Linked DNA regions of Drosophila melanogaster. The protein of the gene in region 1 interacts with the protein of each later gene in a pairwise test. Each region holds a gene or a part of one and is shown in the gene's direction. Other genes may lie near its edges. The genes, in order: qtc and CG8997.

Region 1 (5,134 bases):
GCCTGTACGGAGGGCTTTTGCAGATGACCCAAATTGGAGGTTGTCTGCCGGGGCTCCTGTCCCAGCACAAGCATGTTGGGATTGATCAGGCGGAAGGCATCGATGACCACTTTGCCCTTGACAGACTGAATGGGATCGACGACGACGGCTACGGCTCGCTCCGACAGCGCCTCGAAGGATTGCTGCGTATTGATGTCCACGCCGGACAGCCAGCAGCCGAAACCGGGATGCGAGTGATACCAGCCGACGACCATTTCGGGTCGACCCGTCTGCTTCAGCATGTCCAACATCTTCGCCTGAAAGACGGGATCCACGGCCTCTACGGATACTCCAGTACCCGTTTGCGGCATGGCGAACACATCGATGACCTGCACCGTGTAGTCGTCCACGAATTCGCCCAACATCAGACCCATCACCTCCATGGGCACGCCGGCCCGTCCGTGCTTAAGCATCTTGAGCAGGGCCAAGGACGAGATGTACACCTGCTCGGCGGTGTCTACGACGGGCGCATCTGTGGGCGGGGCGGCCTGTGGCATAGCACCTCCAAGACGTAGCAGACGATCCATTTTATGCGGCTACCCGGGCACAAGGATACGAATCGGGGTTAGAAACAATCGAAAAGCGCTGACTAAGCCAAGTGCTCACCTCTGGGATTTGTAGACACTCTGTGATCGGGGGCAAGTATCAACTATTTCCTACTGTTTTACGTGTAATTTACGTTCCTCGTCGAAAGCAGCAACAAAAAACACAAAGCCGTCTCGTTTGATTTTGCAGAATTGCAAGTAATACTCGCAACAGGGTTGTATCGCTCATCGCCTATCGAAAAGCTATCGGCGGGAGGAGATGACGATTTGCCTAAATTTTAGCTTGATTATAGCAAAGCTATAAAAATATTTCAATTACGTTCAATGTGTAATCAAAGCTAAGCTTTAGTTGTTGTTATGTAAATAATATGAGAATACGTAACTATAGTAGGGAATAATGAAATTAACTAGTTGTTGTCAAGGATGTATTGGAAAGGCTACTTCTACCAAAGTTATTTCATATAAAAATAAAATTAACCTAATTATAAAGAGTCCGCTGTAATATTTTATTCTATATTCTTCAGATTATTTGTAGTAGTCAATTTGTTTGTGGAATATTTTAGCATATATTTAAGTCTGCTATTTGCCAGCACTGATCAACACTGTCTTTATATCGATACATAAAACTATCGATAATGGGAATTGGCGCCAAGCTCGAAATTTTTAAGCGGATAAAACTTAAAAAGCAAACTCAAAGGACTTGAAAGTACTGGAAAGAGTGTATTCCGATGTTATATTTGGTACAACAATAGAATGAGTGTGTAGTGTGGTCGAAAGTGAAGTGAGCTGAGGAAAACTAAGACTTTCCGCAAGACCGAACACCACAAAATTTATAATGCACCATCCATCCGCCCGTCAAATGCCATGGGAAATGAGGTCTTCGCCGGCAAAACCGAAACAATTTGAGCAAGTACAATGCAGAGCCGCCTTTTGTTTTTATTGTGCCAATTAATTGCACCAAAAACCTTTTGCCTTTTGGATGCGGCGCCTTCTTTATGCCTTTCACCTCGCTCTTGGCGATGGGGATTCCGATTAAGAGATTCCCAGACCGCCAGACGCTCGAAAATTCGCTTAAAATGCCATCAAAAGGTGGGACGACGCCACACACCGGCTACAAAATCCAAAGCCCAAAATCCATCCGATTGCAACACACGGACTACTCCATTTTCCGTCTCGCTTTGGTAATTGAACAATAGGTTTTCCATCTGCCAGCAGACTTTTCCATTCGCCGCTCGGCTTTTCAGCTTCAGTTGCATTTTGTCGCTCGCCTCCAGCACGCGCACTCCACACAATTGTTGTTAAAGTTTAATAGTTTTATACTTTTCGCTTGGTTAAACGTTGTGCTCAAGATATTTGCAATTATTCGCATACAAATTGCGAGCAAATAGTGCACTCATTTGCCGCAAGCGTAGCCAAACTCAGGTAATTAAATACAAATTGTGAATACTTCTAGCTGAAAGGTGGCGAATTTCAGCTGAGACCGACATATTTGTGTCGATTTTGTATTTCGCTGTTGACTTGCCCTCTTATCACCCAACGAAACACAGCCACAAAATTGTTATTGTTGATAAGTGAGAGACTCGAACTTAGAGAGCTTTTTTTTTACAGGGGGTGTGTGTGTTCTATTAGTACACAAAAAATAAAATTCGGTAATAATGTGTGTGCTTAAATCGAGTAAATCAAACGAGTAGTAATTCCAAATGATTACTTTAAACTAATGTATCTTTGAGTTCTTACTCTCACATATAAAGTAAGTATTATTATTCTAGTGGCTAGTGAACTCAGCAAATTTTTCGCTCTGTGTACTTTTAATTACTTAAACAGCTGCTTGGTATTTGCTTAGGCCGAAAACAAAAGAAACGTGCTCCATTTCGCCATTGATTAAATAGTTTCACATCTGACTTGGGCATCTTAAACGCTATCCATTGACCTTGTCAACGCTTAAATCAATCCCGTTCGAAGAAATGACGTGAATGCACTCAATCTGGTTACAAAAACGTGGCAAATAAGCACATAGCCGATATTAAAGGGGGGGGGGGGAACAAAGTGGAGAAAAACACGTTTGTTCAGCTGTGAAATTGACCTTTTATGGCCTAACTCAACCCAAAACCGCCCAAAACTGAACATTTTGTTGGAGCCGTCTGAGTTTGAAAGAAATGAGCGGAAATACTTTACAATGATAGTCGCTCTAATTGCTACCAAAAGTGGCAGTGGAATCCCAAAGAAACAGAGAAGATAATAAGGGTCAGATGGGTAAAACAATTATTTTGGATGTGGGAAATGTTTTTGGGGGTCTTGCAAAGAGATTTTAAAATTGTAGAAATTAAATATAAGAAATTAATGGTAAATGCTTATAAATAATATTTAATTGAAGTAGTCTATAATAACTAGAATGCCAGAAAGCTTAAAAAGATAACACTTGATTTCGCATTGATTTGCCAACTGACACAGAAATTCTTATCACCTTTGATGTCTCACTTAATTGCTGATAGTGACAGAAAATATTCAACTGAATTTCTCGCACCTTTTAAGGTGTCAAATAAAATAAAAATTATTTAACCCAAAGACCTTTGAGATCGTATCAACTTGTGTAACTAGAACAGGCAGATACAATACATTGAAACCATTGAATCCACAGAAACCAAAAACGAAAAAGATCTCAACAAACAAATTTCGTAATTATCCGCGGAGGAAAAAACTGAAGAAAAAAAAAACAGAAAACACGAAAACAAAAACCTGAGAGTTGCATGTCTGGGAAAATGCTTAATTTCACTTTTCATTTGGGATTTGCCCAGCAAATCAGTGCAACAATTGGCGAGCGGAAAGGAGTGAAGATCGTAATTATTAATTACGGGCTGAAGAAAGTTTTTTAATTACCCGACGAGCGTTTAAGATAATGAAGTCGTTTATCCGAGGCATTCAATTATTAAATTGCTTACATTTTGAAAGTGCAACCAGTGATTAGAAATTGATTTTAGCTCAATTTGTATGCAGCTCATTTTGCCAATCATAATTTTGCATTTCACTTTCATAGTAGTAAAATGGTTAGTTAACTGTCTTTATATTTAAATTTTTTAGTTGCTAATACTAGCTTGAACAAACATTTCATGTTCAAACATTTAATTTGATTAAAAACACGTCTGTAATCTTGCAATTATTTCTCTCTCTGCAGAAATGATGACGTCGCTGCAGCTGGAGACGTCACTGCCGGCGGTGGAGGAGCAAGTGCAGCGGGAGAAGGACAACGATTCCGCCGAGGACTCGCACACGGCATCCACAACGCCCACACGCATTCCACATCCCGCCGTGGCGCGTTTCCGGCGTTCCGCTTCTCTGCGCCTGCGCGGGAATCCCGCAGAGCTCGGTTTACGGGCTGAGCACTGTCCAGCCGGCGGAGGCGGATTCAGTTCGCGCGCCAAGCTCACAGCGATCCCATCCAGTCTCGAAACGCGTTCGCACCCGGTTCACTTGAGGCGTAATCGCAGCTGGTGCAATTTAGGCCACAAAACGGAGCAGGAACCGGAAGTGGAGGCTTCCACGGAGGCACTATGCAACGCCGCCCAGTGCTTGTCATTGGATAAGGAGGCACTGGCTCCAAAGGTGGGCAACAGCAGCATGGCCAACGGCAAGCCGCGAAATTTGGTGAGTTGTTGTAGGTGGATTGGTGGGCGGTGGGACTACACAATATTCTGTATTGATTTTCACTGCTGGTAATTGACGAGCCGCCCTCGCACGGCGGGTTAAAGGTTACGAGGTGGTGGCTACCACAATACGCACTCGTTGTGGTAAGTAATGAGTGTATTACGAAACTATCTACGGAACTCTAGAGGCATTTTCCGGGAATTCAGGAGCACTCCCAATGAAACACTCCCACTGGAAAGGCAAAATATGTTTAGCTTACCTCATGAAAAGGCAACTAAGTTTGTTCTAGACTTATTAGGTACCCTGGAAAGAGTGGGCTTTCAGGTTATAAGATAGTTTACACTTTCTGAGAACTGACTAGTGCATTGATTGTTATCTAGATAGTTTGTTTTCTTCAATAGCTTGTAATTTTTTATTAAATGTGATTTTTACCGTTTATAAAGATATTAAATATTAAGTGAAAAGGTTTATAACCTACCTTAGCCTGCAGCTTTAGCCAAGTTAGTAATGACTTGGCATGTTTCAAGTTTTGCTTCAAGTTTCCTGGAAAGTTACATTTAATTGATTTAGCTGGCTAATGCCATTTTGTCACTTGCACTTTTGTTCATGTCGTGATGACACGCAGCTTACAATTTTGTGCTCTTCCCGCCGACAGCGATCATTAAACCAGATACAGTACATAAATATATATATGTACATATATTTGTACCGTGCGAAGGGAACAAGTAAGAAACCCAAAGCCGAGTTTGCATAATACTGGGGAAATGGGAGAAAGGGAGAAAGAAAGAAGGTAAAGACAAACACAGCTTACACACGCTGTACCTTCAACTCAACCTCTCTCTCAACCCCCCCCCCCCCCTTCCTTCATGTTTGGTACCAGCTGTTTCGTTTCCACTTCCGTTTGTTCC
Region 2 (4,119 bases), 8.8 Mb from region 1:
CCAAATAGTGGGCACTGGCCTTCAGCTCTGGGAAGTTGAAGTGGAACTTGACCTTCTTGCTAAAGGTGTAGCTGACCTTCATCTTCTTGATCTCCATGCCTTCCAGGCCATCGAAACGGAAGCGCAGGAACTGCAGCAGGGTACTAAGGATGACTATTAGATCCACTGATACAATCACTCCAATTAATTATAACTCACTCGACAACCGACTCGGCCAAGTGGATGCGGAGATCAGCATTGGTGTAGGGATCCAGTGGTGGAATTCCATATTGGGGCCAACCACAAGGCATTTGGTTCAGCAGTCCATTGATGGCCTTCTTCACCGATCCGTTCAAGATCAGACCCTGAGTATCGGGCTTGGCGGCTGTTTGCGGGGAATCACATTGCAATTAGTCCTCTGTTTGGTCAGGTGATGGATGGCTTAAGACACTTACGATTACGCGCCACCAGCTGGTCCCATTGCTCCTCGGTGAGCAGCTCCACATCGTAGGCCGCTACGCAGGCCAAAAGGGTCACAAAAACACAAACGATAGCTTTCATTGTATAGCCAGCCACCTGATTGATTGTCCCAGCCGGTCAGTGGCTTTTATAGCAAAGCTAGCGGATTCGAAGGGCAAGCCGAGGGGAAGGGAAGGGATCACTTAACCAGGTTAACAAATACAAATGCTAATCGCTACTTTTGATTAGCGGAGCTGCCATGAACATAACGCCCAATTCACGATAGGCTTCCGATTTAAAAACGAAGGAATCAAATCATTCGGCAAGTGGTTTGTAAAAAAAGGGAGCACTTGTTTCGCCTGAGTGGCTTGTTTTGGCCTAATCTCGACGTCCAATTGGCCAATCGATTGTCAATATCACTTAAAGAATATATATTGCCTATCATTGCGATCTGGATTATACACAAATAACTGGTCTACCGGGGGTAAAACTGCGTCAACCACTCCATGCAGGTGTCGGCGGATTACACTGGATGACCGATTCGTATCACTCAGTGGGGGTAAATTCTTTTGTCTTCAGAGCTTCAGTGGCTTTTTTGTACTCTTTAGAACCTTAAAGGCGTACTAAAAAGTGATTTATTGCTATTCTGATTACGATTTTACAAGGGGAACTAACACAATGGGTAAACTACTTATTGATAAACATATTGGGCTAGGACTGGCGTTAACTTTAAAGCCAATAATTCGTTAAGAGAGTATTTGACTAGCCATCAGGTGTTAATCGTCTGGATTTTTTTATTAATAGATCCATTCGTAAGACCTTTAAATACCCCAGTCGAGATATCATTCATAAATCACTCAATGCACTTAAAAATCACTTGATTGTTAATCAATAAACAAACTTTTCGCAGACTTTAGATCCGCAGAAGTGCATGGAGAATTTTAATTCCAAACAGACTTCTTTAGAAGATTATAATCATGCTAAATTTTTGGTAGTCGTTTTCAATTTTGATAATTACTTTGTTAAAATGTTTCCTATTGGCTTCAACACCTGCATGACCTTAAAATATCGATTGATGGAAAGTTTTCGTAAGACCATACATTTAATGTATGAGTACTCTGTAATCGCGAAACTAATGATTTTAAAATCTTGTTTCCAAGTCAACCACTAATCCTACACCTTCTTTTTTAGAAAACGTTTTAGAAAAACACACTTTTTTGAAGCCTTCTAACCATAACAAAGCGGGGACACACCCCAAATAGACTTTGATCTTGACACTCCTCCACAAGAAGGCAATGTTTGTACTTTAGTGAAAACTGTCTTTTTAAATCTGATCATTTCCTTAGGATAAGTACCCCCATGTATGTATATATAACTAATCATTAAAATTAAAAAATTTGCCAACCGGGGAATCGTTGGCCGAGATAAGACAGCAATAGGCCATCGATTGAACGCCCGGTGGCTAATCAAATCGTTCACGAGTACGAAGCCACCTTATCACAACCCCACCTGAAATGTTGATCGTCTATAAAAAGCGACTCGTGCGACCGGACGACTGAGTAGTATAAATACCGTAGGTACTACGATCAGTCGGTAGGACTCTCAGTCAAAGCAATAATGAAAATCTTCGTGGCTATTTTGGCTTTTGTGGCCGTTGCCAGTGCGGCTTCCATGGGCCAGCCCATTGGTGAGTATTCCAGATGATTTCCAATGCCCAAATATTTAGCATACCTATCCATTTGATTCTCTAGAAACCCAGTCGATCTCCAGCACGATTGTGGATGTGATCGAGGGCATTAAGGAGCAGATGCCCTGTGGCTTTACCAGTGTCGGCCTGCCGCCATTGGCTCCTCTTAGAATTGACCATCAGGATATCAACATCGATAGCAGCGTGCTGAAGGCTCAGGGAACCATTGATCACTTCCGCCTGAACGGTCTGAATGATTTTGATATCGATGAGATGAAGGTCAACGCCATCACCAGCAAGGTGACCTACAAGTTCACTTTCCGCGACGTGAACGTGGATACCCAATACGATTTGAGTGTGCTGCTAAAGAAGTACGGATTTACCATCAATCTGATCGGTGCCGGACATGCCAAATTCGCCATCAAGGATATGGTTATCTGGGGCACTATGAAGTACTCACTCGGCGTGATCAGCGGCAACCTGAAGCTGAAGTCATTGGAGGTCCGCACCCACTTGGGTGAGGTTGATTCCGAGATCGAGGGCATCCTGGGCGATGGCAGCATCAACGAGAAGATGAATGAGTACTTGGCCGAGGCCGTGGAGCTGGCCATCAATGAGAACGAAGATCTGATTGCCGATACCATCGAGAGTATTGCCCTGCCCGCCGTCAACAGCGTTCTGGACGACATCAGCATCGCCGAGATCATCTCCGGTGCCGGTGGTGATGGTGAGGGTGGAGAGAAGGAGGCCTGCATTCCCCCCGAGTTCGAGTGGTAAACAAATCATCGGTCATTAAACAACCGTTTATGAATCAAGAATTCGTCACCTGGCTCTTTTCTTGCGGGACTGGCTTTCGGTGGGTTTTTTTTTGTTCATTGCATTGGGAAATTTAAACGATGTTTTAAAAAGCTTAATATTTACAACATCCATCAGCTTTCATTATATTTCAAAGACGGTCTAATCTCAAGTTGTGTCCTATCTGTCATAAAACACTTTGCCAAATTATTTGCCGATTAATAAAGCTACTTCACATGCACAGAAAAAAAATGTAGATTCATACAAAATAATATAATAAGATATAGCGATTTTCAGAATATGATTTTTATATCAAAGGGAATATCTTAGAGCACTGTACTCAATACCTCACCATTTTGTGTCAATAAACAATAATTTTGATATGAGAGGAATGCCCCTAATATTTCTTTAAACCTTTATAAACACTAATTATTTAAGAATAAATAACAAATTGTTCCATATTTCAACCATGTTTTTGTAAATATAAGCCAAGAAAGCATTCACTGTTTATTCACTGTACATAGAAGTTTTCCTAATATTAAAATTTTTTAATCTAGACACTGATATTTTTGTGCTGTGTACCGATAGATTATCTCAATGGTCATTTTCCTATATAAGAGGAATGGATTTGGCAAGCTTCGACTAGTGGATTTTGATTGCCAAAAGGGTTAACTAGTGTTCTGTGCTAAGAATGAAGTCTGCATTCCTGATTGCGCTTATCGTGGCCCTGGCCAGCTGTCAAGGTGCCGAAGTTGCCGAACCTTTGTCAGGTGAGAATATGAAGAAAATTTTAGGGAAAATTTAATAATCATAGTTAATTTTCAGCCCAAGGACGCTCTTTCTCCAGCGTAATTGTGGACGGATTGGAGGCATTCAGGGTCGTCCTGCAAAATGGTAGCCCGAGATTTGGAATCCCCGTTATGGCACCCATGAAGGCGGCGCAGAGGTCGTTCGAAATCAACTCGGGAGAATTCAGTGGCACCTTTGGAGTCGAGAACTTTGAACTTCAGGGGCTCGATCAGTACGAGATTATCACCATGAACATGGACGTGATCAGGAGTCGCTTGACCTTCAACATCAACTTTGCCAGCCTTAACTTCACCACCGATTACGAGATGGACATGGGCAGTGGCTATCGCATCAAGCGCAACGGTGGCGCCTTCTTTGCTCTCGAGGATCTGAACATTCAGGGTAGAATT

The links.
Region 2: the proteins of qtc (region 1) and CG8997 interact in a two-hybrid assay, tested with the Drosophila melanogaster proteins (one large-scale study listed by BioGRID).

What each region holds. Positions count from the first base shown.
Region 1 is NT_033779.5:5,058,985-5,064,118, forward strand, and holds the start of qtc (quick-to-court), read left to right. Parts: upstream 1-1,830; 5' UTR 1,831-2,006; intron 2,007-3,651; exon of another isoform or gene 3,652-3,756; 5' UTR 3,757-3,758; coding exon 3,759-4,226; exon of another isoform or gene 4,227-4,458; intron 4,459-5,134. Other genes in the region: Rpn11 (regulatory particle non-ATPase 11), read right to left, coding at 1-566. UniProt on the Drosophila melanogaster protein: In adult males, modulates sexual behavior by playing a role in sex discrimination and maintaining normal levels of sexual activity towards both males and females.
Region 2 is NT_033779.5:13,843,199-13,847,317, reverse strand, and holds CG8997 (uncharacterized protein), read left to right. Parts: upstream 1-1,992; 5' UTR 1,993-2,055; coding exon 2,056-2,125; intron 2,126-2,189; coding exon 2,190-2,902; 3' UTR 2,903-3,403; downstream 3,404-4,119. Other genes in the region: CG7916 (uncharacterized protein), read right to left, coding at 1-143, 199-364, 435-540; CG33306 (uncharacterized protein), read left to right, coding at 3,612-3,690, 3,746-4,119.